Linked DNA regions of Cricetulus griseus. The protein of the gene in region 2 interacts with the protein of the main gene of each other region in a pairwise test. Links are inferred from orthologs where the notes say so. Each region holds a gene or a part of one and is shown on either strand. Other genes may lie near its edges.

The links.
Region 1: the proteins of Trim41 (region 2) and Zbtb48 interact in binary tests that used the Homo sapiens proteins (3 or more experiments, as listed by UniProt). The two-hybrid records come from large-scale screens. The link is inferred for Cricetulus griseus from reciprocal best matches to the Homo sapiens genes TRIM41 and ZBTB48.

What each region holds. Positions count from the first base shown.
Region 1 is NC_048595.1:4,334,039-4,336,779, reverse strand, and holds part of Zbtb48 (telomere zinc finger-associated protein), read right to left. Parts: intron 1,195-2,741; coding exon 1,083-1,194; intron 510-1,082; coding exon 417-509; intron 106-416; coding exon 19-105; intron 1-18. UniProt on the Homo sapiens protein: Plays a critical role in transcriptional regulation and chromatin remodeling. Acts as a regulator of telomere length. Directly binds the telomeric double-stranded 5'-TTAGGG-3' repeat.
Region 2 is NC_048600.1:63,472,526-63,476,908, forward strand, and holds the start of Trim41 (E3 ubiquitin-protein ligase TRIM41), read right to left. Parts: upstream 2,958-4,383; 5' UTR 2,649-2,957; coding exon 1,842-2,648; intron 1-1,841.

The DNA.
Region 1 (2,741 bases), on a different chromosome or scaffold from region 2:
GCCCCGCCTGGCACTTACTGCATGGGGCTTGGGGGCTCCGTGCAGCTTGATCATGTGACTCTGCAAGTCCTTCTTCTGCATGAACTGCTGGGAGCAGGAGGAGCACTGAAACAAGAGGCCCAGTCAGCCTCAGCACCCTGCACCATCAGTGCCTTGCTGTCAGGTCATGGTGAAGAAGGGCCTAACCCAAATGCCAGGACAGTCCCCAGTCTGCTGAAGGGGGACTCCCTAGAGGGGCAATGCTCAGCCATCACTCCAGGCCCAGAGAAATGTTGAGCACGGGTGGCTAGAGAAGTGTCCCTGTCTATACGGTGTCACTGGATGGACAAGGGAGGCAGGCTTCGAGGGAGAGGTGCCAGATACCACCCTAGGCAAAGGGACCCACATCCCCACCCAGGCGGTGACCTCGGCCTGACCTTGTAGGGCATTTCCCCCGTGTGAGACACCATGTGCACCCGCAGCTCCATCCTCCTGCGGAAGGTCTCCCGGCACACGGAGCATGTGAAGACCTGGCAGTGTGAGGGGCAAGCAGGGCCAGCATCAGCGAGGGCCTCTGCCTGCGACGGCAGCCTCTGCAGGGGCTTCCACACGCTGCTGGGAAGTGTCTGCCTGGGGTAAGGGATGCTGGGGTAGGAGAGGGCAACATGTAACCTGCCTGCCTTAACCATCACAGAGCACTGTCCACAACCACACACCAGACCCTTCTCATCTCCACACAGGTGGGGGAGGGGGCAGCTGCTACTGTCTCTAGGAAGAGAAGGGTGGGGTTTAGCCAAACACTACCCACCTGTGGCAGGGGGGCATGCAAGGCAGCCCCTCCCAGCAGCCACCCCCACAAACACTTTCCTTGCTCCAAAGCCCAAGATGGAGCTAACCCAAAACATCCCCCCAGGGCTTATCCCCTGTGCCCTCTGAACAAGTGTCCCCTTGTACTAGAATGTGGATGTGATGGCATCCAAGGCCCCTGCAGCTCCTATTTTATAACCCTGTAGCATTTCCTGGGGGTCCTTCCCAGATGGCACGAGGACACAGGTCGGTCACTGGGCTGCTGCCCACAATTACTTGGCCCAATTCCCAAGTACCTGTTCTGAGCGGTTCATGCAATTCCGGGCTTCATGCTCCAAGAGGTTCTCCTTGCGAAAGTAACACTTCCCACATTTGGGACACTCAAAGGGTTTCTCCCCGGTGTGTTTCCTGCCAAGAAGAGAGGCCACAGCGTTGCGGGGGGCCAAGAGGCTGTCCCGCCTCTCGGGCGCTCGGGAGCCCTCCCACTCCTGATACAGACCTATGCTGGGGCATAGGTGTCCTGAGGCCAGCCAGGGCTCACCAAGAAGGCTCAGTGACCCCCAAGTTGGACATGCAGTGGAAAGATCAGAAATCCCCTCCAGTGTAGAGACCCTCAGGAAGAGAAGAAACAGCCATGGCGGGACAGGTGGGGACCGGCAGCCAGCCCTACTTGCACCAGCCTCATTCCATGGGTGCTTTAGAGCTAGCTGACTGGCACAGCCTGGTTGGCACCAACCTCCTCCCTGTGAGCTCCACGTTCAGCCACATGGTAGGCAGGCAGGCAGGCAGGCAGACAGACAGGTGATATGGCTCAGTGCACAAAAGCACTTGGCTGCCAAGCCAGAGGATCCAAGTTCAATCCCTGAGACCCACGTGGTGACAGAAAAACCACTCCCACAAGTTGTGCTCTGACTTCCACCCCCACCCCATGAGTAAATAAATAAACAAATGTAAAACACTATGCCCAGATTCTGCTCCCTTCCTCTCACTGATAGCACACTGGCTGCAGCAGCTCTTGGGGTCCCGTGAGTCACCGCTAGGTCCCTGGCTCCCTACCTGTCTCGCCAGCCAGTTCTACTGACTTCAGAAGCCTTTGGAGATAAGGCAGCCCTCATTACCTCTTGGCTCAGTCCTCCAGTGCTTCCTATTTCACACAAGGAGGACATGGGCGGCCTGAGTGAACTAGCCAGCCCCTCACTGGCCTTGCTCTGAAGTCCTTGTCTGCCCTCACCCCTCACACTAGTCACGCTTACTCCAAGCCCAGGACATTACTGCTAGCTCTGTTCCCAGCAGGAGGCTCTCCCCAGTGAATGGCTTCCTTACCTTTCAGCCTAGGCAGGTGGCAGAAGCCTGTGATGTATCCCAGCTACTTGGTTTAGATCCCACCTGCCCCCAGCACTAGGCTCATGTGTTAGGCAAGTATATTCCCTGCCCATTCCCAGCTACTCCAAGCTAAGGCAGAAGGATCACCAACTCCAGGCCAGCCCAGGTAATTTAGTAAGGCCCATGTCACTGAAAAAGGGCTAGGGATGTAGCTCCGTGGCAGAGGAACACTGCAGATCACGGGGTAGGGGGTAGGCTCCCTGCCTTCTTATAGTCCCCAGGCCACAGTTTTCAGAAACTGACCCTATGCAGTACACTCCAAAACCAATGCCTAGGTCCCACTCTCCTTCTACCCCTCCCTCAAACATGGTCTGACACTCTGTAGCCCCAACTGGCCTGAACCTCACAGGAGGTGCCAAACAGCAGGCATGAGCCAGCAACTTGGTCTCTGTCTGTCAGCTTCATTCTAAATCTCAGCTTCCTCTTTTCTCCAAGTGCCACAGAGACCTTAGTTTGGCTCACGTGCTCTAATGGCTCATCTGTCTTGTCACCAAGACAGATGCTTGTCTTGTGCTCAAACAGCTACCAAATCTAAACAAACCCTGATCTCAGAGCGGCGGTAGCTCTGCCTC
Region 2 (4,383 bases):
ATATGGGAAAATCTGCCTCCTAAAACCAGAACTAAAGTAATTTAAAAACAAAACATACATATAAACATAAGCAGGCAGTGGTGGTTCATGTCTTTAATCCCAGCACTCAGGAGGCAGAGGCAGGTCAGTTTGAGGTCAGCCTGGTCTACAAATGAGTTCCAGGATATCCAGGTCTATTACACAGAGAAACCCTGTCCAGGAAAAAACAAACAAACAAACAAACAAACAAGAAACAAAAAGGGTTTCTTGCCCTCAGGTCTCATGTATCTTGAGCTAGCCTCTATCTTGCTACATCAAGGATGACCTTGAACTGTTCTTCCTGCCTCTATTTCCCCAAGTGTTGGGATAAAAAGCTTGCACTATCATGCCCATTTTAGGATGACTATTCTATAGATACTCTAATTCAGAACTTCTGCAGTAAGGCCCACTGTACTTTTGACATCTCCTCAAATAACTGACAATCAGCTGTGAAGCCTTAGACTCTAAAGTTGAGGAGGTGATGATCACCTAAATGAAGTTACTGACTGAATTAGGAGGAGGCATAGAAACATTAGTCACAAACAAAGCTCTGGGCAGCCATACAGAGGAGGCTACCCTCTCCTCCTGATTCTATGGCTTCAAATCTGAAGATAGTTCTATCTGTGCTGGCTGCTTCACAGACACATGTCCTTTACATATGTCCAAAGAATTAGAGAAATAAAGAACAAGCCAGTTAACCAAACAAGAATTAGATTCCTAGAACAGTCACATCAGAAAAGTCAAACTAGGCCAGGCGTTGGTGGCGGATGCCTTTAATCCCAGCACTTGGGAAGCAGAGGCAGAGGCAGGCAGATCTCTGTGAGTTCAAGGCCAGCCTGGTCTACTGAGTGAGTTCCAGGAGAGGCTCCAAAGCTACACAGAGAAACCCTGTCTCGAGAAAAAAAAAAAAAAAAAAGTCAAACTAAAATATCCAAGTAGTGTTACCTAGGAGCCCCAAGAGGAAGATGTTCATATCCAAGTCTATCACTTATTAAAGCTGTATATACATAAACATCCATGTTCAGAATTTAACCCTGTTTCCCAATCAATAAAATGAGAATGGCAAACATCAAACTCACATGGTGACTTTGAATTATGAATGATAATCCACAAAAAGTGACCTGCACAGTACTGACTATATGTGAAGTGCCCTATAAATATTAACTCCTGTAATAATTAAAGTTCAAAGTGAAGCCGGGTAGGCACACCTTTAATCCCAGCACTCCAGAGGCACAGGCAGGCAGATTCCTGTGAGTTCAAGGCCAGCCTGGTCTACTACTGAGTGAGTGCCAGGATAGGCTCCAAAGCTACACAGAGAAATCCTGTCTCAAAAAAATAACAAAAACAAAAAAAAAGTTTAAAGACACAAGATTTTTACCCTAAAACCCTCCTTTCTGGTTAATACATGAGACTGGGTGCTGAGCCAACCAGCAAATCTGTATCATAGGATGGGTGTGGAACCCGTTAGGAAACAAGTGCAGAGTATTTGGGTCTGACACTAGTTATTTCTATGCTCCTGTTTCAGACTCCCTTGTTCTTTTTGGTCCCATTTCTTTCCATCTGGAAGTGACTCTGTCATGGATAAGACTTAAGATCCATCCAGAAGGATGAATGCACTCTCTGTCACTTGCACTCCTATCCTTAAGCCACAGAGGAAGTCTCAGGATCCTTGTAATTTATCGACCTTGGAAGTCAGTGCTTGGACAGGGAGAATCATTTCTGCAGGACATGAGGTCCTGTAAGAGAACCCACATTCCCTTTGCCCGATGTCCTCTATTTCCTCCCTACCCTTACTAAACTCTTGCCTTGCTTAGTTCACTCACCTTGTACTCCTGCACCACCTCTTCCAATGGCACCACACTATGCTGTTTGTGGCTCCTGGATTCTCGGCACACCACACAGATGGCTTCTTCATCCACCTCACAGAACAATTTCAGGGCTTCTTGGTGTCTCGGACAGATGCCTTGTTCATTCACACGACTCCCTCGACCAGGGGTTGGATGCATCTGACGAATCACCTGGACCATGTTGGCCAACTGCAGGTTGGGGCGGAAGCTCCGCCGAGGAAAACTTTTTCGGCACTGGGGACAAGTGAAGCACCTCCGAGGGGCTGGAGGTGGCGGCAGTTGGGTGATCGGATCTAGCTCCTCTTCCTCATCTTCCTCCAGCACTTCCTCCTCCTCGTCCTCATCTTCCCCCCTCAGGTCCTCCACATCTCCCAAGTAATAGTCCAGATCTTCCTCCTCCTCCTCTTCCTCCCACACATAGTCCATGTTGTCCCAGTTGGACCCGCCTATACCACTACTCCAGAACACACCCTCCTCTTCCTCCTCGGCCTCCTCCTCCATGTCACCCTCATAATCTTCATCCCGCATGGGGGTGTCCCAACCCCCGCCTGCTCCGACAGCCTCCACTTCTTCCTCCTCTCCGACCTCCTCCTCCTCCTCCCGATCCAACTCATCCCTGTCCTCCTCATCCTCCCCGCCCCACAACTGGGTTACACACACTCGGCAGAAGTTGTGCCCGCAGCCGATGGACACGGGGTCCGTGAAGTAATCGAGGCAGATGGCGCACACCGCCTCCTCCTGAAGGGTCTGCACAGGGTTGGGTGTCATGGCAACGGCAGCCATCTTAGTGTCCAGTCAGCCAGTGTAGAAGTGTGGTGGGGGCCGAGGGGGGGCGGGGGGGTCTTCCTTCTCAGAAGCCCAGGAGACCCGTCCCCACCCCAAGCCCTGCTTCCCCACACCTTGCCTGCGGCGAGGCCGGAGGAATGTCCTCCCGACCAGCCCACCGCTGCACACACAGTCCCCTACCCCTAGACGACAATCGCGTCTCAGAGAGGGGAGGGGACTGAGGTGAGCACCACCGACAAGTATCTCAGGTGGACCTGAGTGCAAATCTGCCCCAACGCTCCCCCGGCCTCCTCATAAACCCCCGCCCCTCCTCACTTCCTGGCCCCGCCCCCCAGCTTCCGGCCTCCCTCCCGACGCTTCCGGCGTCTCCACACGACCTAAACTCACGAGTTCCCTCCGAGGTTGTGCTACGCCCCCCTTCTCCCACGCCCCGCCCCGGACTCCAGGGCAACCGGAAACGAGGAGGAGACGCTCTAGCGGACACGCGGGAACAGGGCGGGAGGGCTAGGACGGCGGAGGTCCGCATCTCTGTGATGACTGGCGGCGGGGAACGCGTACAAAGCGGAAGAAGCCCCCATGCCCCGCCAGCGGGGACAGATGGCGGAGGGCAGCGAGGACGTGGAGCAGCACCCTGCTCTCCGTGCTACAACCGCAGCGGCCTAGCGCCATCCTACCGACCAGGCACGGACGCCTGCAGAAGGCACTCCCAATAGCAGTGCCGGAAGCTGAGGGGCGGGCCCGCTCAGCGTCCTCAAACACTTCCGGCCCCTGTAGCCCTAGAACTTGCTGGAGACTCGATAGATCCCTGCAAGTGGGGGTCGTGGGCGGAGTCTGACGAGATAGCTGGGACTGGAGTTCGGGAGGCGCCACCCTCTGCGGGGCATTCCCACGCCCGTTTCAGCAGCTGCAATCTTGCGGGCACTCCTGTATGCCTCCCACACTTGGGAGGGAGAGGCAGGAGGACCGCGGCAAGTTACAGCCTTGTCTAATCTGGGCTACAAAGTCAGACCCTGTCCCAGGAAGTAACCACCAACCAACCAGAGCAAGCAAACAAACAAACAAACAAAAAAACACTGTCATCTGGCCACTGGCCTATCATTTATTATTAATAGCTACATTCACATTAAATGGAACACTGTCCAGATATGTGAACAAGAGTCTTCCCGGATGTGTTATGCTTAAAAAGCGCAGATTGCTGGACACTCTGGAGTATACAAGGTTAAGTGTATTTGGTGCTTTGTATGGCTGTGACTACTCCTTTAAAGTAGACCATAGGTCGTCGCCTCGGGGTTTTGTGAGGATGTCACGTAAAGCGATCAGAGGGTTTCCTAGCACCTGGTCCGACTGCTCAGGGTTAGCTAGCTACTCTACCATATCCGCGTCTGTGGAGGAAGACAGAATTTCTCTAGGAAAGATGACCGGGTAGGAAAGACGCTTTTCCTAACATGTAGTTCTTTTTATATCCTTTGAGTTTTGAAACAAGTCCATATGTTCTCTTTAAAAATAAATAAATAAATATATATATATATATATATATATATATATATTTCCCCCTTGCTATGGAGTCATTCAAATTTTACTACTTCTTAATGGCCGTGCACACTTTCAATGATTTGCAGTCCTTAATGTTTTTGAGATTTGTATTCGTTGAATTCCAGTGTAAAAGGAAGGAGTGTCTCGAATTGTGTTGTGGAACTGGTGTTATGTTTTTGTTGTGAGGGAATCTTGTCCT